Caenorhabditis elegans: one gene and its partner. The protein of the gene in region 2 purifies or fractionates together with the protein of the main gene of each other region. This does not show direct contact. Each region holds a gene or a part of one and is shown on either strand. Other genes may lie near its edges.

Region 1 (5,042 bases), on a different chromosome or scaffold from region 2:
TTGTCACGTTGTATTTTCCAATGATCGGCAGCTACTGGAAGCATCAGGCGATGAAGCTTCTTAAACCTCATGTATCCCCAAACACATCGGACGCTACACGTGTTATGTTTCGGAAAATGATTATTGTAGGCGTAAGCTTTTGTTATATAGCTTAATTTGGTTTCCAGGGCCTGAACTTTCAAATCTTTCTGCCGATGCTTAGTTATATCCCCGTAGTGTTTTTATTTATTCTGATTCAAGTCACTGGTAAGGGAAGCTTATCAAACCAATATAATTTGTATATATCACCTTTAGGCCATCAATTCCTGATCTCTCAGTACACAATAACCTGTCTAGGAGCACTTCCTTGCTTCTTGGATCCAATTTTTCAAATTTACTTCATTACACCGTACAGGAACGCTGTTCGGGCTTTCTTCGTGCGGAAGCCGTCTGCTGATGGTAGTTGGGCTACAAGAGTTTCAGCAGTGAACAGTGTTGCTTGAAAAATTATTAATGGGCTTTTTTTTCAAAAATGAAGCATGTTTTTTATTAAACTTTTTTAATGCACATATGAATAATTTTGGTCGTTTGGAAAATATAGAAACAAGATCCCTTTGTTGTCAGCATTTTTTAATAACAAACCGTGCTCTAATAGTAAGTGATGATTTGAAAGAAATTTCGAAGGTGCCAGTGTTATTAGAATATTTGATGTTATAGTCAATGTCGCCCATATAGTCCGGTTGAAATATTCTTGCAAGTTCAATTGATTGCACATTATGGTGAGTTGAAATAGTGCAGGTCTTGAATGTAGTTTTGTTCATGAGGTCCTGAAAAAAATTTGGGTATACAAGTAAGATGTCTTGACTTGATTTCGGTTTACTTAAATTTACGAAATCTGGTGATCCGTCGACTTTAAATGTATCTAAATCAAGTTAAAACTTAAGATAGCTATATGGTAATTTCATAAAAGTTAGTGCTTGACAAGTCGGTCAAATTTCAAATTTCGGTAATTTTTTAAACCACCGCAACTTTTTTCAGAAGGTTTCGAGAAATTTCATTAGGTTATTCATGCATACATACACACCACTACTTCATACATACATACTATATACATACATACTACATACATACATGTTGCATACATACATGTTACATACATACTATATACTACTACTACTACTGCTACTAATACTACATACTAGATACATACATACTACATACTACATACTACATATATACATGCTACATACTACATAAATACATGCTACATACATACATACTACATACAAATTATATACTACTACACACTATTACTACCAAGGGTGTCATTTTTCGATTTTTAGATTTTTCGATTTTTTCGATTTTTTAATTTTTTTCAGTGAAAATCGAAAAATCGAAAAATCGAAAAATTGAAAATCGAAAAACGAAAATTTTCGATTTTTCGATTTTCAGAAACCGAAAAATCGAAAATTTTTCGATTTTTCGATTCTCTGGAAAATCGAAAAATCGAAAAAGATTTTCGGAAAATTATCCTTAAAATATGATTTTTTAAATCTAATTTTGCTTGAATTTATAATAAAACATACACATTTCTTCTAAAAAGAAGAATAATGGCTAAAATATGAAGCTAATTTCTGAAAAAAAAAAAAAAAATCGAAAAATCGAAAAAACGAAAAACGAAATTTTTCGATTTTTCGATTTTCAAAAAACCGAAAAACGAAAAACCGACACCCTTGATTACTACTACTACTACTACTACTATATACCACATACATGTGAAAATCAGAAAAACTCACATCTCGAATTTTAATCGCATTTGGCATTGAGAGATTGTCAATTTGAATACTGAACTCTTCAAAGTGAAAAAAGTGCTCAATTGGTACTAGATCACAAAACAAAAACCGACAATGCAAAGTTCGTGCTTTTTTCCATTGGTCCAGACAAGTGATTCTTTCAGATAACTCGACTCCGTCGCGGTGCCATAATACAATATCTTTGAGCACTTCAGCTTGACAACTCGAAATGATGTTCAAAATATCATCATGTGGGAAGTTGTATAGTACTACTGACTCTACGGCTATACATTTATTTTCCAACATATCATTTATCGACGATGTGATGGCTTGTTGTTTTACTTTCGAATAGTTCTGAAAAACGAACTTCTTCACGTTTTTCAATACGCTCGCCAAGTCGTTGAACGCTGCTCGCATGAAATTGTCTTCTTCGATTTTTGTTTCTCGTCCTTTGTAAGTCACGTATGCAGTACCAGAAACATCGGTATATTTGATTTGACTTCCGTTTAAGTCCATCGCAACGAAATCATTACAAATGTCAAATGAGATTCTGTTGAGATGGTTTCCTGATTGGTCAACGGCGCTTCTCAGACTTTTGCACACTTTACGGCAGGATAGTCTGGAACATTGCATTTTTACTAAAAAGATTTTAAGACTCCTTTGAGCTGGAAACACTTATTTGGTACCGAAAAGATCAGATATAATCATGAAAAAAACTTAAATTTTTGGCACGGAATTCAAATTTTAATTTCCCAACAATATTTGGCAGAAAATTCAAATTGAACTTTTTAAAATATTTTGGAGCACATTTCAAATTTTTATCATAAAAAAATTAGGAACCAAATTCAATTTTAAAATTTTCCAAAATTTTGAATTTGAATTCAAATTCAATTTTTTAAAATTATTTGGCGGAAAATTCAAATTTTAATTTTTTAAACATTTTGGCGCCAAATTCAAATTTAAATTTCTCAAAAAAAAAAACGTTTTTAATCTTAAAAAAATATATATTCAAATTTTAATTTTTCAAACATTTTTGGCACGAAATTCAATTTTTTAAAGAATAAAAATTTTGGCGCCAAAATCAATATTTAAAAAATTTGGGTACAAAAATAAATTTAAAATTTTTAAAACATTTTAATATTCCAAACAATTTTGGCATAAAATTTAATTTTGTTATTGAACAAATAAATTTTGACGCACCGTTAATATCAACATTTTTAAAAATTTGTGGCGCGAAATTCAAATTAAATGTTTTTTGAACATTTTGGCGGGAAATTCAAATTTTTTAGCATAAAGTTTGACTTTCATTTGGAAAAATTTGTGAAATTATAACTTCAACTTACAGATCCATTGCAGGCAATTTTGACAAAATTTCATCAGAAATTTCCAAAGGCATACTGATAGTGAGCAAAGTTGGCGATAACTTGGACATTTTACTGGAGTTATATGTAAATTCAAACGTAAAAATGAACCAAAAACGTCTATTCACTCTCTCTATTATACAAACTCCAATGACGCATGGTATTTAAACATTTCCTCCGTAAAAAAAGTATGACTCCATCCGTTTTTCCCGAAAAAATATTTAAACTGATAACAGTCACACATTGGTATAATTTCATTTTACTCGAAACTTCCCAATTTCTTCAAATTTTACACTGAAAACTTCAGGTTTTTACTTGAAAAAAGAAACTTTCGAAAATGCCTACTTTACTAGAATTGCCGTTGGAAATTGCCAATCATGTTTTGAAAAGCTGGAGCCCATTGAACGGTAAGTTTTTTTGCATTTTAACAGCAATGCGAATTTTTCATTTTCAAATTTCAAAATATACAGAATAATCTCGAAACTCTTAAAAACTACGAAAAAAACTATGATGTTGAGCAACTTCTGGCCAATCAGAAGGGGCTGCTTTCCTCCGCTGAATGGTTAAGAATTGGGTGCAGCTAAATGCTGATTGGTTGAAAAGTGGGCGGAGCTAAACGTTGATTGGCTGAGAAATAGGCGGAGCTAAACGTTGATTGGCTGAGAAATAGGCGGAGCTAAACGTTGATTGGCTGAGATATAGGCGGATCTAAACGTTGATTGGCTGAGAAATAGGCGGAGATAAACGTTGATTGGCTGAGAAATAGGCGGAGCTAAACGTTGATTGGCTGAGAAATAGGCGGAGCTAAACGTTGATTGGCTGAGATATAGGCGGATCTAAACGTTGATTGGCTGAGAAATAGGCGGAGATAAACGTTAATTGGCTGAGAAATAGGCAGAGCTAATTGCTGATTGGCTGAGAAATAGGCGGAGCTAAACGTCGATTGGCTGAGGAATAGGCGGAGCTAAACGTTGATTCGCTGAAAAATAGGCGGAGTTAAACGTTGATTGGCTGAGATATAGGCGGATTTAAACGTTGATTGGCTGAGAAATAGGCGGAGATAAACGTTAATTGGCTGAGAAATAGGCAGAGCTAATTGCTGATTGGCTGAGAAATAGGCGGAGCTAAACGTCGATTGGCTGAGGAATAGGCGGAGCTAAACGTTGATTCGCTGAAAAATAGGCGGAGTTAAACGTTGATTGGCTGAGATATAGGCGGATTTAAACGTTGATTGGCTGAGAAATAGGCGGAGATAAACGTTAATTGGCTGAGAAATAGGCAGAGCTAATTGCTGATTGGCTGAGACGTCGATTGGCTGAGGAATAGGCGGAGCTAAACGTTGATTCGCTGAAAAATAGGCGGAGCAAAACGTTGATTGGCTGAGACGTCGATTGGCTGAGGAATAGGCGGAGCTAAACGTTGATTCGCTGAAAAATAGGCGGAGTTAAACGTTGATTGGCTGAGAAATAGGCGGAGCTAAACGTTAATTGGCTGAAAAATAGGCGGAGCTAAAATGGTAGGCTTAGACTTAAAACTTTACTTGCAGTGTTAAATCAAAAACTATTTAAATTCCAGACTAACCTGCCGTAAAGTCTGTCGAAGCTTGAGAGCCGCCCTTGACAAGCTTGGAATCCGTTTTGACACCATCAAGCTGGACGTTATGAGCGAAACCCTTTCAATACGGTTTGATAAGATTGAACTGGAATACACTGATTCAGCTGTGATCTACAAAGGACGGAAGACTATTATCCAAGAAAAAGATTTCATGGAGTTGGCATTCAAGGACCTGAAAATAGCAATGAACCATGCATCTTCATTTGTTCTGCAAAACTTTACAAGAAATAAAAACGAGGTTCTCAAATCTCTTGTGAATGTTTTGGAGAACGGAGGAAGCGTTCACGTGAAGAAA
Region 2 (4,722 bases):
GCAGAAAATAAATACAACTTGCTTCAGCTTTGTTTTTATCGTAACTTCACAATATTTTGGCAATCCTTTTTAAAACCGCATGGATTTATTCAGATGTCGTTTTCTTTTCACTTTTCTGTCAGAATATGTTTAAAATCAGTTTTCAAAGTACAAATAAACTACTTCCATTAAAAATGTGGGATTTCCTGTGTTTTTTTCATACAATGGTTTTAAACAACGACAAAATTCCCTTAATAAATTGAAAAATGCAAGAAAAATAAACGAGGAAGCAGCCGCAAAAATTCAAACACAATTACCATAAACTTTTTTGCGCGTCGGGACCCATCTGAATAAATCTCTGCGCCTTTAAGGATTAATTTTTATATGAATTGATTTTTCTTTTAAAATAACAACAACTCAGTTACGCGTTCTTGTTTGGTTTTCTTTTAAATTTTTAATGTGGCTCCTGACCGTTTAATACATTAAAAATAGATTATTGTAGAAAATGACACAGCGAGAAATATTGCAATCAGTCCATAAAATTGAAATCGATGTAATCTTTATAACTCTCACATAAACGACAACGTATTTAAATTCAAAGGCAATTGTTCAAAAACAGGGAAAATGCAATCTCAAAAAAAACGCCCGACATAAAAATGGGAACTTGTATGAAAAAATAAATGTACATTTGGCATAGATAATTGGCTAGATAAAGAATAAATACTTCCTATTGTGGCTTCTCTCTGTAAGTATTGACTGCTTCGATGTCGAATTTGAAAAGTTCAATCTCACAGGAATAGGCTTTTGGTGTGAGCTTGATGACTGTATGCAATGGAACCTTCAGATATGGAAGATCATCTCGATTTTTGTTAGTAAAATAGGCAAGAATGCAACGGAGAACTGCTTGATGAGAAATGACAAGGACATTGGATTGTCTCTCAAGCTCCATGATAACTGGCTCCAGACGAGCAACCAGATCTTCATATGATTCCCCACTTGGATAACGGTAGTGATATTTATCCTTATCTCTTTCAGCGAATTGTTTCGGATAACGAGCCTCGAAATCTTCATAAGTTAATCCTTCACATATTCCGGCATCGATTTCATCAAGACATTTCCAGAACTCTGTATGACCAGCGAGATCTTTCAGATGAGAAGCTGTCTGGGCGGCACGAATCTTTTGAGATGACCAAACACGGAAATCGTCCAAATCTTCTTTTTCGAAGTATTCGCGAAGTTTTCCAGCGTAATTTAAACCATTTTCACTGAGTGGGGAATCACCACCAAGACGACCAATTCTGTTGTACTCACTTTCTCCATGCTGTAATAAATTTTTTAAAGGGATTTTTAAACTATAAAAGTTTAAAAATACTTGATAATTCTCAGTGCTGTTAATTGAATGAATTATATCCCAGAAACGGAATTTTGTGCCAAAAAAACCGGTGTCCGGTCTTGACACGACATTTTTGTTAAATGAAAAAAGGCATCACCTTTAAAGAATACTGTAATTTCAAACTCTCGTTGCTGCGGAATTTTCATTGATTTTCTTTTTTTTTCACGATTTGTTAAAATTCAAGTTTTTTTACGGGCTCTCTTAGCTTGTTTGGTAAAAAAATATTAATTTATCAAAAAGTGAAATAAAAAATAAAAACGTTTTTACAGCAAATCGTGAGAAAACTGAAACTCAATGAAAACTCGGCAGCAAAAAAAATGAAACTACAGTAGTTTGTAAAGACGCACACTTTTTGGCATTTAATAAAAATTTTCGCGTCGAGACCTGTTACCTATTTTTAGCGCAAAATTTTTTCGGTTTTTTTGTTAAACTTACTCTTGACAAATAAATACTTCTTGGAAGAAGATGAATATTCATCAGGAAATACACAACACGACTCTGCACATGACCATTAACATTGTGAACATAGAAGGATTTTCCGGCATTGATAACTTTGATATAGCTCAGCTCTTCATCATGATCCTCATCAAGTGGCTCATATTGCATTCGATAGTTCTCGATACGCTTCAAAAAGTCTTCTTTTGCTTCCTCTTGAGACATTATTCCTTTATAATCTGGCGAATTGATTTTCACTTCCTGAAAATATGCGGGTTAAGGTGATTATTTTGAAGATCTAAAGGTTACCGTGATATTCGAGTTGATAATATCAGGATCATCACAAACAGATTCCACAAAGAAGACACGGAATGGTGGCTCGTGCATCATATTTCTGCAAAACTCCATCAGAAGCTTTCGTCGGTCTCTTGTAGTATTTGTCGCGTCGAGAATCTGAATAAAAAGTTTATGTCTATATATTTTTTTGAAATTTTTTCCTTTGTAACTCACCGCCACTTCTCCTTCCTTGTTATCCAAGTACCTTCCCATATCTTCAATGGCTAATTTCGCGCACTCACTGAAAATTCAGGAATTTTTTTAATTTTTTTTCTTCATAGTTTCGTAAAATCTCACTCTCGGATCTTTTGACCTCTGGCGTTGTTTGGCGAGAAGAACTCATTTTCGCCTTCTTCTTCCAAATTACACGCTCTTCTTCTGTACTCGCCGACATTGAATGCTGTAATTTTGATTTTTTGTTTCATGTCGTACATATAATCGAATCAGGACCAACCTTTGGTCTTAATTCCAATCCAGTTGAGGTAACGACACAGTTTGTGTGAGATGTATGTTTTGCCACGTGCCGGCAGTCCGACAAGTGCGATGACGTTTGGAACTCGAACCTGCTCGTTTGAGTTGTCTGAAAATTGAGATTTTTGAGAAGACAATGTGGAATGAAAATAAAATAGGGCTAATCGATCAATTTTATGCACTTTTTCAACTCAAAATGCGTCCAAAACGGCTCAAAATTTCGAAAAAAAATGGGCTATTTGATTTTAGCTAAAATCTTCAATTTTGCCAAATTTTCCATGTCGAAACGGACGGAAATCAATTTTAATTGAAATTATGTGAAATAAACTATCTTTTTAAATTTCGCTCATTTGGGCACATTTCGAGTCTAAAAGAGCAAAAAAAAATGGTAAGTCCTCTTTTAAAGTAAACTGACCACTCTTCGGCACGAAATACGTCATTTTGCGCTGCGGTACGCCGGCTGGCCCAGGCATCTCGTTCTCCTGCAACATTTCTAGCCGAAATGATATCGTCTCTTATCAAAATGATTCCGAAGACAAAGGCTTATCATTTTAATCAAATATTAAGAAATCAATAATAATATTATTGCGCCGGAGAGAAAGAAAAACAGGCAATGATAGAGAGAAAGAAAGAAAGAAGGTTCGTGTTATGAATGGGAAGAAAGTAGACACAATCTTCCATAACAATAAAGTAGGAAACCGAAAACGAAAAGAAAAATAACCAACAATTCATTTTCTGTGTTCAACCATCCCTTTCTTTCTCTCTTCTCCTCCCTTGTTTCTTCTTACACTCGAGTTCGCGGGTGTCTTATCTTCTTTGGCGCCTCCTCTCTCTCTCCAATAAAAAGAAAGTCCTGAGAAAATATACGTGACACACGGAAGCGAGAATATTCTCTCAAACCGACTTTTCAACAGTTGAAACGACGAGAAAAAGAATCGCAATTCAATCAACATTTTTAAATTTATTTAAACATTTTCATTATTTATTAATGGTTCATCATCCGGTGGGTCTACACATCCATTAACACCGTAATCTGAGACGTGGTGTCCAAAGTAGAACAGGTGATCGTTGATGTCAAAGTAGCGATGAGTGTTGCTGTAAGAGAAGATTTTCTTATCACGTGATTTCGATCACTGTCACTTGCCTGCACAAATTGTCCTCGTTCAATGGAGTCCCGGTGCAAACTTTGAACGTATCTTGACTTGTCATGTTTCCAGGAAACCAGACTTCGACTCCATGGTGATAGGATCCATGATTGTAGAATGGTATACACCATCTGGCATAGCTTTCCACGCAGAACGGAATATGTGCAACCTAGAAAAAAAACTTTTAATAGTCTTTTGAAAGAGGATATTTTGAACCGCCAGAAAAAAATTTCGAACTTGTTTGAGAAGTTTCATTACGAAATTCGCTCATTTGGGTGCATTTTGAGCCTAATAAAGCATTAAAAAAATCTTAAATATTAGTCTCCCTCACAATATCTCTTCCATGAATCAGTCTCCAGCTTCCTCCAGCAACTAATTTGTCATGTGTCATGGCATATTCGAGATTTCCAACTCTAGGCTGTCCGAATGTGATTGAAAAGGTTCGACTCGACGTTTCGGGAAAGTTTCTAACGAAAACAGTCGATGCAATACTTGCAATAGCTCCGCCCAATGAGTGTCCTGTGAACACAATTTTATGATCTGGAAGTGAGTCTTTCAGTCCTCGCAGTAGTTTTTCCATTGGTGACCACATTGTTTTTAGAGCAGAGTAGAAGTAATAATGAACTGATCCAGCATTGTGCAACTGTAAAATAAGTTTTCTTTGCTCTGTGAGTACTCAGACAAACACTTGAAACATGAGCCTACTTTGTGCTTTGGCCGACCAATGCTTTCGATAAGTTCAGTTACCAGCTGCTCTTTCGATTTTGTTCCACTGAAACTGACGAATATTGTGTCGTTGTCGGCAGCAATCACACTCCAGCACTGGAAAAAATTAAATCAGATGATTTTTGAATATTTAAAGATCTCATGATCTTTTACCTCGTCACGCATATAATCGCACTCCACCTTTTTGAAAAACAATAAAGTCGCATTGTTTTTCGAGATGCAAGGTTCCGGATCGAT

What was found. Proteins that work in one complex are often made in the same cells at the same time.
Region 1: the proteins of pfkb-1.1 (region 2) and fbxa-12 fractionate together in Caenorhabditis elegans (co-fractionation; one large-scale study listed by BioGRID). This does not show direct contact.

The regions. Positions count from the first base shown.
Region 1 is NC_003281.10:2,217,923-2,222,964, reverse strand, and holds fbxa-12 (F-box domain-containing protein), read right to left. Parts: upstream 3,258-5,042; 5' UTR 3,169-3,257; coding exon 3,116-3,168; intron 2,392-3,115; coding exon 1,776-2,391; intron 807-1,775; coding exon 600-806; 3' UTR 524-599; downstream 1-523. Other genes in the region: srd-65 (Serpentine Receptor, class D (Delta)), read left to right, coding at 1-125, 168-246, 295-482.
Region 2 is NC_003279.8:5,129,905-5,134,626, reverse strand, and holds pfkb-1.1 (6-phosphofructo-2-kinase domain-containing protein), read right to left. Parts: upstream 3,108-4,722; 5' UTR 3,106-3,107; coding exon of another isoform or gene 3,088-3,105; coding exon 3,030-3,087; intron 2,724-3,029; coding exon 2,598-2,723; intron 2,544-2,597; coding exon 2,441-2,543; intron 2,385-2,440; coding exon 2,318-2,384; intron 2,261-2,317; coding exon 2,117-2,260; intron 2,069-2,116; coding exon 1,808-2,068; intron 1,301-1,807; coding exon 707-1,300; 3' UTR 522-706; downstream 1-521. Other genes in the region: Y110A7A.7 (Fungal lipase-type domain-containing protein), read right to left, coding at 3,580-3,709, 3,759-3,928, 4,091-4,402, 4,465-4,581, 4,639-4,722.